Drosophila melanogaster: one gene and its partner. The protein of the gene in region 1 interacts with the protein of each later gene in a pairwise test. Each region holds a gene or a part of one and is shown on either strand. Other genes may lie near its edges.

Region 1 (8,013 bases):
GGCGCGATTGGCCGCAGCCTTGGTGGCCACATTGGCGAAGTGCGACTTGGCCAGCTCGACGTTCTGCTTCTTGGCCTTGGCCAGCACCTTGGCCACGGTGCGCTTCTCGGCGGCGAGGGCGGCACGACGCTTGAGGACCTCGGCATAGGGGTTAAGCTTGATCAGCTGGCGCACGTTGGTCAGGGGGTTCAGGCGGCGCACGCTGCGGAACACACGCTTGCGGGGATCGCGCAACACCTTGCGGATCTCCTCAGACTTGAGCAGACGCGACAGATCGGTGTTGGCCATCTTGGGCTGGGGCAGGTTGTAGCCCTTCTTCAAGGTGGACGGCTTCTTCCAGGTGCCGAACAGATCGTTCAGGCGGGCGAAAGCCGACTCGGTCCAGATGACAAAGCGACCGACATGACCGCCGGGGGCCAGCTTCAGCAGATTGAGCTTGTCCACGTTGATGGTCTCAATGCCGGGGATGTTGCGGAAGGCCTTGCGCAGACCCTCGTCCTTGTCGTAGACCACCAGGGGACCACGGCGAGCGATGCGGCGACGGTCGCGCATGGTACCACGGCCAGCACGGAAGCGCTGCGACTTGTACACCTGCGAAATGAATGAGAAACAAGTTGATAGTGAGTATGTATATTCCAGGAATTCGGAAATAGAGAACATGAATACAACAGCTGTTGCTCTTCCGTTACCACGATGGAAGCCGTGAATCAAGTTTCAATCGTAACGCCAAGAAGAGCATTTTATCTGGCAACGCAGGAGATCCCTGCAAGCATCGGACAACCAGAAGAGTAGCCAGTTGCTTGCACGCTGCCAAGTAAGATTTAGAAAGCATCCGAAAAGTAGGAATCCAATAAAAAGTTATAACTTTGCAATTAAAACATCACAACTTCACGTTTTGTTAAATAAATACGTTGAAGTTGAATAGACGCACAGTTAAGTGACCTAACATTCTTCGGATTAAGTTCTTCATAGGTGTACAAAGTTACCCACCTTCTGGATGTCAGCCCAGATCTTCAGGCGACGCAGGAAGATGACAGCCTGCTTGGTCTTCTGGACCTTTTGCACCTCATCGGACACGACCAGCGGGAACTCGGAGACGCCGTCGATGACATGTCCCTTGGACTGGACCAGAGCTGGCACTCCTGAGGCGGCGATGGCCGACACCAGGGCGTAGCGACGCTGGTTGACATTCACCTTGCGGTGCCAGCGACGGAACGTCTTGGTGGGGGCGAACATGCGTCCACCACGGCACATGTTGCCGAAGGCTCCCTGGCCGGAACGGTGGGTACCGCCACCACGCACACGGGGAATACGGGCCACAGCACGTCCGGTACCCCAGGACTCGGCGGAGGTCTGGTGACCTGCAAACAGGAATTCAAACGGGTTAGATTCACACAAAAGAGGAGTTATAAACAGTTTACTCACCAGCCAGCTCGCTGACGGCGTAGGCCTGTCGGTTGTTGCGGCGGAGCAGCTGGTGAACCTCGTTGACCACATCCGGACGAATGGGCGCCTTGAACACTGCCGGCAGGCATATGTTCTTGTCCTTGGCTGGCTCGTTCTTTTCCGTGTACACGGAGACCAATGGCCTGGCGTTGCCTAAGCTCTGAAAGTGCACATGGTATTCGGGTTTAGTTCACTGATCATTTCACATCACAAAACACAACAAGCGCATTTCGCCATCGCCGCACATTCCAAACACGTGGAGGTTAGGGCGACACTTTTGCACTATTTTCGCATCGTTTCGTGTGTTAAATCCAATGTTTTGGGGTCTGCTGCGGTTGCGGAGTGCCTTGTGCTTCGTTTCTCACCATTTTCGTTGATTTTCAAACCCAATGAAAGGTGCTAAATATTCTGCAAACGCAGATACCGTCCTCTTTTTATTAAGAAGAACGAAGAAAGAAAGAGAGCTGCCGGAAATGGCTGCCAATCGCGTTCCACGGCGCATGGTTGCATTTGCTAACAGCAGCAAGTGTCAAGCTTACAGGGCTAATTGGACGCTGTCCAACACTTTTAGCTTTTTTTTTCTCTCGTAAGAGAAGTTTTTGTTTATATTCTCGCAATTAAACTATAATATTACAAATCTAAATTCGAATTTATCAATAACGTATTTTAGTTAAATTTATAAATTAGCAATGCGTTTTTAAAGAACAAGAATACAATTGTTGTAATTTAACCGCATAATAAATAATCAAACAATACATAATACATACATACGTTAAAAACTAACTTACACAACTTTTATTGGTGAGAAAACAACGCTTATTTTTTGCTTAAATGTTCATGTTAAAACAAAAAAATTTACTAAATAGATATATGGCTATTAATTAACAGCATTCTGTTATCCGTTTATATAGCTATAAAGTAGCTAAATGTGCCACACTAGTGCGAAGCGGCAATTGTATTTGTTTACTTGCGGAAAAAACAGTCTCAAAACACAGAAATTAATAATAAATAATGGCTGGCGAAGTTATTGTGGATGCTCTGCCCTACATAGATCACGGCTATGACGATGTGGGCGTCCGGGAATCGGTAAATATACGGATATCCATGTTGCACGTTGAAACTGACTTTGAAATGGCATCTTCTTCTTCCAAAGGCTCTCGCCATGGTGGAGGAGGAATGCCGGCGCTATAGGCCCACAAAAAATTACCTTGACCATCTGCCACTGCCCGCCAGCTCGCCCTTTGAGACTCCGCTGATGGCCAACGAGTTCGAGCGCATCCAGAACCGCCTGCCCATGGAGACGCTCTCCATGAAGCGCTACGAACTGCCACCGCCGCCATCGGGCAAATTGTCGGAGGTGTCCGCCTGGCAGGAGGCCATTGAGAACTCGATGGCCCAGCTGGAGCACCAGTGGGTGCGCTCTCTCAACCTGGAGCTAATGCTCGACTACGGCACGGAGGCATGGAAGTCCTACCTGGAGGTCTTCACCGCCATGCAGGCGAAGGCGCAGCTCCAGCTGCAGCAGCTGAAGAAGGACATTCAAGATGTCAACTGGCAGCGCAAGCAGGCGCAAACGCAGGCCGGCGAGCGACTGCGCTCCCTGGAAGCCCATTGGGTGCTGCTGGTCTCCAAGAACTACGAGATCGAGACGGAGTGCGTCGAGCTGGAAAAGATCGTCCATGCCGCCCGTCAGCAGCTGCGGAAGATTACCCCGCCGCCCAGCGCCAATGACACGGCTCCAACGCCGGAATACACGAATGGTTTCGACCAGAACGATTTGGCCGAGAGCAACGGCAGTAGCTCCAGCAATCCAGATCCAAGCCAACCTGGCGATGATGGAACAGATGCCGATGGTGACAGCAAGGAGGAGGACAAATCCGAGGCACAGGAGGAATCTTCCAATGGATCAACGTAGATTTAGTACACTGAGCGAAAGCATGAAGCAAGTTAAAGAAAAACTTACGACTGTAACTAAATATAAAGGATATTAAAAAAAACAGCTAAAAATCTAAGATTTATCTTTATTTTTCAAAATCGTTGCAGAGAAATAGTGATCCTCTTCTTTTTGCTCTTATATCAGGGGAATGGACAGCTAGTAAATTTTAAATAATTTCAAGATTAAATATTTTATTATTTCAAATTGGTAAGGTAGTGTTTTGTGCTGTAAATTTTTTATACGAAGAATGGCATTTTTCAATGTTTCTGCTACGGTCACACCAATTGGATGTTTACAAATTTCGTTTACGAATTAAATAAAAAAAAATATAAATAAATACAGAAACAACTAAGGATGGCCCACTACAAAGGTGCCGCCAGCGAGGCGGGCCGTGCAGCCCAGCTGATGAAGAAGCGGGAGATCCAGCAGCAGGAGATCGAGTTTCGCAAGAAGAAGATCGAGGAGGAGCTCAAGCTGGACAAGATTGAGAACAAGTTTGCCACCCACTACGATGCCGTGGAGCAGCAGCTCAAGTCCTCGACCATTGGTCTGGTCACCCTCGACGAGATGAAGGCCAAGCAGGAGGATATAGTGCGGGAACGGGAGAAGAAGCTCGCCCAGAAGAAGGACGAAAAGGATCGGGAGAAGCAGCGCGCCCTGGAGGCCATTCAGGCGGAGAAGAACAAGCAGAAGCGGCAGATCCAGGCGCTGTCCTTCAACCTGGACGACGACGAGGAGGAGGAGGAGGAGGACGACGAGGATCACGATAAGAAACAGCTGAAGATTAAGCAGGAGGATCAGCCCAAGCCCAAGTGGACGGAGATCAAGGAAGACATTTTGCCCATAAAGAAGAAGAAGATATGCAAGAATCCTGACGTGGACACTTCCTTTCTGCCAGATCGCGAGCGCGAGGAGCAGGAGAACAGACTGCGCGAGCAGCTGCGTCAAGAATGGGTAATGCAGCAGGCGGAGCTGAAGGACGAGGACATCTCCATCACGTTCAGCTACTGGGATGGCTCCGGCCATCGGCGGAACGTGCTGATGAAGAAGGGCAACTCCATCTACCAGTTTCTGCAGAAGTGCCTGGAGCTGCTGCGCAAGGAGTTCATCGAACTGAAGACCGTAATGGCCGACCAGCTGATGTACGTCAAGGAGGATCTGATCCTGCCGCACCACTATTCCTTCTACGACTTTATCGTGACCAAGGCACGCGGCAAATCCGGCCCGCTCTTCCAGTTCGACGTCCACGACGATGTGCGCATGATAAGCGACGCCTCCGTGGAGAAGGAGGAGTCCCATGCCGGAAAGGTACTCCTCCGCTCCTGGTACGAGCGCAACAAGCACATCTTCCCAGCCAGCCGATGGGAGCCCTACGATCCCACCAAGTCCTACGACAAGTACACCATCAAGGACAAGGATAAGAGTAAAAAGTAGTGCTTAGGGCAGTTTCTGCCCGAATAATTGTACAATATAATAATGATTGATTTAATACATCAAAACAAACGAAAAATAACTACAATTTTTATTTGATTTTTCCACCAGATTTACAATCAGTTTAATTAAACTATTATAATAGGCATTGAATGAAATATAAAATATATAACAAATTTATGTTTGCTTAATACAATTTTGAATTCATTAGAAAATGTCATACTTCTCATAAGAATACCCCTAATTATTTAAAATGGCACTGTTAAGAGAACTTGTTGCTAAACAAATTTGGTAGAAATTTTAGTTTATAAACACAGTATAATCAGAGAACATGCAGTTATTCAGCACTTCGTATTGATTGCCATGAAAAAAGAACTGTTAGATTTATATTTTATTTTAATTTTTTAATATTCCAACTGTCATAATAGTCAAAAGAAGTCGGATATGGCGGGAAAAAAGCTAGCCCGCCAGCACCAATAGCAACATTGAATTTTTTGCGCCAGTAAAATTCGCGTCTTTTTATAAAAAGCAAGCGTAATTAATAACAAAAATAAAATAAGTTCCAAGTAAAATGTGAATTCATTTTTCGGATACGTATCGATTTAGTGCCATTTGAGAACCCCGAACCAACGAAATGTACCCGGCGCAACCGGCAAAGGTGGCGTTGGCCGGTCAACCGATATCCGCCGGAAAACCACCACGCCACAGCCCTGTTCAGATGAAGTCTATCCCTTTGCCCGTCTTCGAGCTGCCGGAATACGTGTGCGTGGAGACCAAGTGGGTGACACGCAAGTACGCGATAGAGAATGGCATTCCAGTGAAAGAACTGCATGCCCCGATCACCAATGGAGGCGCTACAGAGTCTCCCAAGAAATCCGTACAGCAGAAGAGACTCAACGAGGTCACTGGAATGTTTGCGAACGAGGCTATGGTGCCGCGCAGAGAGCGCGCCATTCAAACAGAGAATGCGGGCACTAAGGATGCGGGCATTCAATGCCGTCGCGATTCGGAGGAGTGGTATTTACCAGAGGAACGGCCAAAGGATACCGGTTCTGAGGCCTCCAATTCCGACAAATTTCTCACCTACGTGAGCGAGAACACATTCATATTTCCCAACGGCATGATGGAGTGCGCGGTGTGCGGCGATGTGGCCAAAACCTTGCTGGAGCACCAGAGCCACATGACCGCGCACTATGGACCTGGTGCTCTGTGCTTTCGCTGTGGTCAGCGTCTGGACCACCAGAAACAATTGAAGCAACACAGTCTGAGCTGTCCCGCTCTAGCGCCCAGGAAGTCATCGATGCTCTTTAAATGCCCACATCTACTCTGCAACGCCATGAGCCACTCAGAGATGCAGTTGCTCAGGCACCTGAGAAACCATAGCGGCAGGAAGTGCTACAGATGTCTTCAGTGCAAACGTTACTTCAAGACCACCACCTCTCTTTTGGTACACCGAAAAAAAGAACAGAGTTGTGCCAAGGCGAAAGTGGTCGTCCTATTTCGCGAACACAACGGGTTGCCCAATGGAAGAGGTGATCCCAGACGTTGCTCAGTTTGCTTGAAGCGTTTCAGCAGCGAGCGGGTATGCCTGCGGCACCGGAGACAGTGCATCCTTGGCCATTTTAGACGGCTGTCCAGGGTCCTCAAGAAGGAGCTATGAACAGCGTATAGAAATCTTGACCTAGCTGGTATTTATTAGTACATAGAAATCGATAACAATAAAGCGAATAGATCCTACGAAGCCTGGACGCCGTGAGCCTTTTTCAGTCCCTGGAACAGCATCAGTTTCTCCCGGTTAACTTCCTTAAGCGTCTGCACCGCCAGCTCCAGTTGCACCTTCTTCAGCGCATGTTCGCTGGCGATGTACTGCTCAATGAACTTCAGGCTGATCTCATCGGCGGCGAAATCGTGCTCCGTCTTGCCAATGGCCGTATGGATCTCCTGCTCAATGTTCTGCTTATTGTCATGTCGTCGGAAGACGCTTCTTAGCTCCGCCAGGGCACTTTCCGCCGGCGTGGCATGCAGTTTGCCCAGTTCGGTCAGCGTTGCCTGATACTCCACTGGGATGTTGTGTAGCTTGTAGCTCAGAGCAATCAGCTCCACGGCATTGTGCAGATAATCCCGACGGATCATGTCATACAGCAGGTCGTCGATGCAGCGGTGCCAAGCGTAGAAGAAGGCCATGGGTCCAAAGTGGCGGGTGGAGCGCAGAAGATCGAACTCCTTGGACTCGTTGAGATGCTCGAACACACGCGCTGAAATGTTGTGGAACTCCGGCTCATGTGGCTCGTACTGCACCAAGAGTCGATCCAGGATGAACTCGTACTTGTGCTCCGCCAAGCACTTGGCCAGCAGCTCCTCCAGCGCGAACATTCGTGGAGTATATGACTGGCGACCCTCCAGCGGGAAATACAACTGGTTCATGCGCTTCGTGGTATCAAGAGTGGCGTAGGCCAAGGTTCCGTCCATATCCCGGACGATTACCTTGCGTTCCGACTGCCGTCGGCCGAAGGTGATGTCCGTGAATACGAACTTGGAGTTGGCGAAGTCCTTCAGCGCCGTATCCTTGGCTATCACCCGCTCCACATCTTTTTTGATCTGCACAATGGGTGGCATTTGCAGAATTTGCTGAGCCCGCACCACCAAGTTCTGGAACTCGTTGTCCAGCTGCTCGTTGCTCATGAACTTCGTTTCGCTGCTGTTGTCCGGCACCGTGCGCTTCCGATACACCTTGTCCAAGTTCAGTTGCGTCATGGACTGGAGCAGCCGCTGGGTTTCGGCATCCGTGAAAAGCGGCTGCGGATCGCGCTCGTACTGCAGGGCGGCGGGCTTGGTGGGCGCCGAGGACACCTGCCGGATAGCTTGGCGCACTCCTTGGAGGCCATTCAGCTGGCGCAGGCTCCGCAGCAGGTGCATTTTCAGTCAGTAAATCAGGCACAAAAATACACGAGACGGGTGTAGAAATTAGTGAGGGCAGCACGGTGTTTTCCAACACTGCTTGCTAGTAATGACAACAGGAATCTTATTTAATTTAATGTGTTTATTCTATTTGTATAATAACTTTTTTAATGCACATGCACATGCGTAATGCGCCTTATTTTTAAATTTCATTCATAATATGCAATATTTGTTTGAAATAGGAAAATAGCAAAATAGGCAACTTTATTATCTACATAAGAATTAAACGATTATTAACTACT
Region 2 (7,187 bases), 1.8 Mb from region 1:
TCCATTCCTATCAATCCGTCAAAATAAGAGTGGAACTTGAAAGGTAGAAGGGTCATTTTGCCCGTGATTTGGAATTCCGGTGGAAATGGTATAGAGACGTTTTGATATATTTTAAAACTGTTCAGGGCTGTTTTGAGTGTTATGGGCGTATCTAAGGTCACACAGTTCCTAGGGTCGACATATTTTGGGTCGATGAAGGAGTGTGTAGAGCCTGTGTCAATTAAAAACTTCAGGGGGTTTGTCTGGGATAGTTTGATTTTTATAAAAGGAAGCGAGGGGTTGTGCGTGGCTGGGCTTATGTACCCTGTTGGTTTCCCGAGGCCGTTTGCTGAAAATTCGAATCAGGTTGAGGGTTCTCCTCTATATTATTCAAACTATGTGAAGGTGCTCGAAAGGGGTTTGATGTATTGGCCCGGTTGTCCTTGGTGCCGGATTGGGGTGTGCGATTGTGTGAATTAAATGGTCTATTTTGGCCAGAGTTAGAGTTAGAGTTAGAGTTAGAGTAGGGTCCCCTACGGTCATTTCGGTCGTTACGTCCGCTGCGGTAATTGCTGTCGTAGCTATTTCGGTAGGTTTTATTGTCTGATCCATTGGGTCCCTGCTCTGGTCTGTTGGTTCGCTTGTTTTGTGCCCTATATAAGGTCTGCTCTATTTGGCATTGCTCGTACGCCTGTTCAAGTGTAGAAGGGGACTTTATCCTGACGAAAGTCTTGAGAGGTTCCTTCAAACCAGTCATAAAAGCATTGAGACAAACCTCGTTGTAGACAACCTTTTTTGCATCTACAACAGTGTTGTTGTGTTCGCTGTTTTTGAGTATGGAGAAGAGTTGGCTTCTCACCTTTGATATACCAAAGAACAGTTGGCCCAAGGTCAGGTTGTCCGAAAATGTGTTAAGCTCGCTTAACAAGTTGGCCTCGCTTTTCTTGCTCGAGTAGAGGCGGATGAGATTGCTTTTAATCTCATCCCAAACCAAGGGGGTATTTGCCAGTTCCAAGGCTTCGTCGGCCCTATCAATGATTTTGTTCCTGATGGTCCTCAGAGTAAGCAGGCCATACGGTGTTTGGTCAGCTCCCCTGATGAGCATCAGGATTTCTTCTACGCTAGTGATAAACCTGTCCAATAGACGAGGTGTACCATCAAAGGTTGGCAAATGCTCAACAAATGCCATGATATCTTTAGGCTTGAACGTAGTTGAAATTAAGGAGCTAATACCACTGACAGTGGGCGCCAGAGGGGATGGAGTGGGGCGGGCAGAATCGTTTCCCGAGTCCATATTGGGGGTTTGGGAAGATATTGATTTGGGTTCTTCCGAAATCGGGAGAAGGGAGTCAGGACGTCTAACGGGATGTGGGGGCCTATTAGTGTTTGGTGGAACTCCAACAACTGAACGTGTAGTTTTCCTAAGGTTGTAAACGAACTTTTTTGACATTAAATTTGAGGTTACTTAGTATATTATGTATGATTGAAAAATAATGAACAAATTTCTTGTTTACTAGAGTGTATGGGTGTCTGTCTTTGGCTTTATATTTTCCCTTTTATATTCTGCAATGTGATTGGTATTAGTATTTGTTTGATATACAAAATTACACAATGAAAGGAAACAAAATATATCTGTATATGTCGACTTCTTTAGTACATTTGTTTTGGTTATTTTGAATGTGCAATACATGAGCGTAGCAACCCATTGTAGAAGAGTGAAAGGCAAGAACACTTGACGATACTCAAGCGTTTTCCCCTTACCTCGGCTACCCAGACATGGGTGCGCCACTACACATGCAGTGTCGTTGTCGTTGTGGTACGCAGAATGAGCCTCGCTTGGTTTGAAATGATTTTTGCTTATGTTTTGATTTTTCGCCGACGTATGGCAGTGTGCGTTTTGAGTGTACAATGTATTAGAGAGGCTTTGGTGCTTTGTTTGTTTACCACGGTGGCATGGTGATCAGCGTTTGATTCCATGCCAACGAGGCGGTACAGTACGTGGATGTATTGGATTGTAGTTGATATTGTATGCTCACATATATAAGTGTATATAGAGGCTTTGGCGATGCGTTGGCCAGCGTATGTAAGTGCCGATGACGTGATGATCAGCGATAGATTCCACGTCAGCGCGGCAGTACGGTACACTTGCACTCTTTTTTTTTTATAAAAACTTATGACGTTTGGCAGAGTATGGACATACCGATGGCGTGGTGATCAGCGATAGATTCCACGTCAGCGCAGCAGTACGGTACACTTGCACTTTTTTTATAAAAATTATGACGTTTGGCAGAGTATGGACATACCGATGGCGTGATGATCAGCGATAGATTCCACGTCAGCGCGGCAGTACGGTACACTTGCACTTTTTTATAAAAATTATGACGTTTGGCAGAGTATGGACATACCGATGGCGTGATGATCAGCGATAGATTCCACGTCAGCGCGGCAGTACGGTACACTTGCACTTTTTTATAAAAATTATGACGTTCGGCAGAGTATGGACATACCGATGGCGTGATGATCAGCGATAGATTCCACGTCAGTGCGGCAGTACGGTACACTTGCACTTTTTTAAAAAAATTATGACGTTCGGCAGAGTATGGACATACCGATGGCGTGATGATCAGCGATAGATTCCACGTCAGCGCGGCAGTACGGTACACTTGCACTTTTTTTTTGTATATTTATTTATTTTACATTTTTCCTCTCTCTTTTTTTTTCCTGTGTTTGAATATATGTTTGAGTTTCATTTGGTACTTCACAACTTCAATTTTGTTTTATAAAAATTTGTTCCTAGTCACTTTCAGTCGACATCTTGCATATAGTTTGTTTCGTTTCTTACATGTTTACTTACAGGTAGGTAATTATTAATAGGTAGGACATCCTACCGGCTGCGCCAGTTAAGTCCGTGATCGAGGGTGGAGCCTTTTGTGAAGATATGATGTGTAAATGTATGAAGGTTTTTAAGTTTCAGCAGATAGTTGTAGTGTGAAGATTTCCAATAAAGAATACGACTGACTTTCTTGAAGTTCAAAATCAGTATGAAGTTTATTGTCAGAGAGTGGCTACTCGAGTCCTCCGTTTTCGTCTTATACATAAGTACATAGGTTCTTAATTGTAAGCATAATGAACATGCCGACTCGGCATGTGGCTGGCTAGCTGGGGACAATGTTGCAGTGCGACTTTTGTGTAATGTCAGCATTCGGCCGGAATGTCAGCATTCGGCCGGATGCGGTGTTCCAGTTGCCGTCTTCCCGGTTGAGTGTCCGATGATTTGTTTAGAGGCGTGGGGGTTTAGGGGGTGGGGTGGTAACTCGCGCTCTCTTTTCTCCACATTTGGGGCCAAAGCTGACGATCCGCATATCAGCTCTACATATATATTTTGTTGTCTTTTATTTATTTTTTCTTTTTGCCTTCGCCCGTGTTGTTGCTTGTTTATATTTATATATCGGATGGGGCTAATATTTTTTCCAATTTTTTACTGCTTTGTTTGTTGCTGTAATGCGGAACGCGCGCGCTCGAGCAAAAATGATAAATCTACGATTATGGGCGTCATGGGGTGTCATGAATGGAGCGGCCCCCCCGAAACACGCGCAAGAGTTACCTATCAGAGATATAGATATGCTCGGTACCTGTTTAATGTCCACGACTGCCTAAAGCAATTTCCGGTTGGAAATACGCCCAGAATAAATGGGTTCAATAGTGCCAATGAACCGAAGATAATAATAATACCCAGAACTTAAGCTCATTTCGTTGCACTGTTTCTCACTGACTTGAAGTAATCGTAGTTAGGCAAATACAAAGTCTTCAGAGTGAGTAAAAAAAATAAATAAACAAACAGCTGTCGATTGTGGATCACAGCTTGAGCTTGATTCACTTTAGCTGAGCCATCGCTTCTTTTAGTACGCCGTAAAAACCAGCTGCAAAAGTGGCCCAGAAAAATCTCCCTACTTTTCTCTTCTTTCAAATCGCAGACAAAGCTCTATGATTACTTTGTGCTTATTTCAAGAATATTTCACACGATTTGACCGAACTCTTAATGGCTGATGTAAAACCAAAACATATTTACGTAAAGGAAGGAAGTACTTTTTTATCTTAGTTCTTGGAATTCGACAGCACAGAAACAAATAAAGGGCTAACACATCAACATGTTAAAGTTTTGTTTTCTTTAAGTTACACTTTGTTTCCCTTGCGAAAATTGAGTGCGTCTGGCAATATATGTAAACATTGAAAGTCCCTGAAGCCCAAAACATTATTCGAACTTTATGCTTTATATTTCCCGCGAGTATTTGAGGTATATAATAAAACAGTCGCAGAGAGCATTTATTTTTTTTTTAATTTTAATAGTAAGCCGTATTTAAATCTGGTTAACATAAGTTTGTTTCGTAATTTGTAAATTACTTTAAGTACGAGCTTTAAAGGTCACAGTTAGTGAGCTTAAGAAATCAATATTGCGCATACGCCATGTGGCCCGCCGAAATGCAGATGCAAGCGCAGCACAAGGAAGCCCAAATGCCAAAGGACACGCCATGAGTCATGTGATAAGGCCCACGGATCCTGACCTAAATTCGTCCTTCAGAAGGTGAGGCACGAAGCTTGAAAAAATCTCGCCTATACGGGGAAAGGAAATTCAGGGGGGATGCAAAAAAAAAAATACAGAGAACAGGAGGACAACCTCTCTAGTTGGCAGGAGAGCTTTCAGCATCGGAAGTCGGCTGTCAAGTGCAATTTTGTGTTTTTTTTTTTTTTTTTGGCTTTGTATTATTATTTAGCACCGCACGTGTGGCACACAAATGCTGATGCTAATGCCGGGAGATTTATGGCAAACCTTTTCGCGAGACCTGCCGACTTACCCAGACGCTGCGGGAATGATGTTGATGTCGTGTTTCTTCCGCTCTAGATACCCTTAATTTAATGCACCCTCATTGGGAATAATGAACATTATCTTTTCTTCTTATTTTCTGTATTTTTTCGTATTTGTTTTCACACGCTTTTAATCTATTCTAGGTAAGGGAACGTGTGTGTGCAAATTCGCAGACGCCAATGGCAACACGCGCGCCAAACAAAACTTTCGCTTTCGTTGCGCGTGTGGCCGTCACACCACTACACACAGCTACACTCACTCACACGCACACACACACACACACACACAGTGGCACACACGCGCGCTGGCAAACAACAAACACGGATATGCGAATACTCGAGTGCGACTGCAAAATACGTAAACGCTCGTGTTCAGCGCGAAATACAAAGCTCTCGTAGCTTTTCCAGTTTTTTGACCAAACTGCGAGACGAACACCTCGACCGCCCAAAGCAGAATGAACGCGGTCCGACGAACGAGCGTCGTTTTAATAGTAGCTCAGCGGGCACTCACTGCGCACCCCACAAAAGTGGCCAAATGTGTTAGGAAATTATTAAAAAAAAAAAAAAAGAAAAATAAATTTATTTTTGGTTAGATCATATTTTTAATCAAACATATTAAATTCTTAAAACCATATTTAACATTAAATTAGTTCTAAGTTCTAAATTTAGCAAATTTAGCCGATAAGCAACGAAATAATAAGTTGACTTTACTCGCAGAGTAATCAACAAATTACTATAGCTGGCCTTATCTACAGAAAACGGTTCAAATCATTTATTTGCACACACTCATGCTCGAGCATCCACCAAAATAAAATTATTTATAGCATCAGTGAAAAACTGTTGACACACATTCGCATTCAAAAGTCGCCAACGCATCTCAATCAATCGAAAAATGTTGCCGCAACATTGTTGCCAGCAACACGCCCCGAAAATGGGGAATCCCAGGGGAGAGCTGCTTTGCGTTTGGTTCGGGTTTGTTTTGGTCGTGCCTTTCTGGTTGCCTAAATCCGGACCCTCGGGCCAGGCCATCACCTCCCACTTCCACCCCCCTCCCCGTCGCAATAGAAGGCAATTTTGTCGCACGTGTCGGAAATTTTGTTACGGCCGATTGCTTTTGCTTCCTCTCCCTCTGCGCGATGGCTGTGAGTTTCAATGAGTTGTGTTTGCGCTGACGGGTTGCTATATATATATACACAGAGTACGGGGGAGATTCTTAAACCATAAAAAATAGATATAAATAATATAAGAAGTGTTGTTTAAAATAATAAAAGATTCATTTATTTTTGTACAATTTTAAAACCCTAAATGAAAGCTCTGTACTAACGTTCGACATTGCGAGGTCTTGCTGTACAATATGCATATATTTTTTCTGCTCGAAGACCCACTGTCTTGACAGATACATTTTCCGAGCGACCTTTCGCGCTGTTTTCGTAATGAAAAGGCAATTCAATGGCCTTTGGCTGTTGCCGGCGCAGCCGCCTGCGACACTAACGGTAAACGGGGAACGATGGCTGACTTCCGGTTTGGCTTTAATCGTCTGCTGCTGTCGTAAATGGCAGCAAAATCCGAGCAGCGAACAATAAAAGAGAAATTAGCATAACACATGAGACAACGACAACGACGCTCGTTGGAGGCCCCCTTGCGGAACCGCTTCCCCCCGATTTTGCCATGTTCTTTATGTGTGATTTTAATGGGCTCGTGGGTGTCTGGGCCATGGTCGCTTTTCTATTTCAATTGCCGACACGTGTACGCCGCGTAAAACAAAAGGAACACGACCATAAAAGCATCACGCACATGTCTGGCCATTTGCATTTTTTCCGCCCTTAAATTTCTGCACCCAAAGTGCCATTTAATTGCCATGAAGTGTAGGGGCGTGGCCACTCTTTTGCGTCAATGCAAAAGTTCCATAAACGTGGTCGTTATTATGTGGGCTGTCCATCCTATCAAGACGCCCGTTAAATAAAAGTGCGTAATCAAATCTAACGAGTATAGCCCGAACAACACGAATAATTCAACTGATTAGAAATAGACGAAAATAAACTGTACCGAAATAGCCTAAACACAACCATCTTGCCGTTGACATATTTATTGTTTTATTTTTAATTGATAATGGCATTTTAAGTGACAAATTTTATTATCTGTCCTTTAGTATTAAAATAATTGTGCCTAATTACTCCAAAAATAGCTATGTCGTGATAAAAATAAACCACAATATTGCTGGCTAAACACTTCAAAAACCGCAGATTGTATTTCAATTCTGCGGTTAATGATCGTGCGGCGAACACATTTGTTTGTCAACACTTTTACGTTCAGTGTATGCTATTGGATTGCCAAAAATAAAACAT

The links.
Region 2: the proteins of BCAS2 (region 1) and Cipc interact in a two-hybrid assay, tested with the Drosophila melanogaster proteins (one large-scale study listed by BioGRID).

What each region holds. Positions count from the first base shown.
Region 1 is NT_033777.3:27,916,718-27,924,730, reverse strand, and holds BCAS2 (BCAS2), read left to right. Parts: upstream 1-2,374; 5' UTR 2,375-2,457; coding exon 2,458-2,532; intron 2,533-2,599; coding exon 2,600-3,361; 3' UTR 3,362-3,448; downstream 3,449-8,013. Other genes in the region: RpL4 (ribosomal protein L4), read right to left, coding at 1-591, 991-1,361, 1,426-1,606, 1,812-1,814; CG12259 (uncharacterized protein), read left to right, coding at 3,737-4,816; Boh1 (buddy of Hmr 1), read left to right, coding at 5,448-6,473; mRpS22 (mitochondrial ribosomal protein S22), read right to left, coding at 6,548-7,729.
Region 2 is NT_033777.3:26,104,988-26,112,174, reverse strand, and holds the start of Cipc (clock interacting protein circadian), read right to left. Parts: upstream 5,308-7,187; 5' UTR 4,833-5,307; intron 4,591-4,832; 5' UTR 3,298-4,590; intron 1-3,297.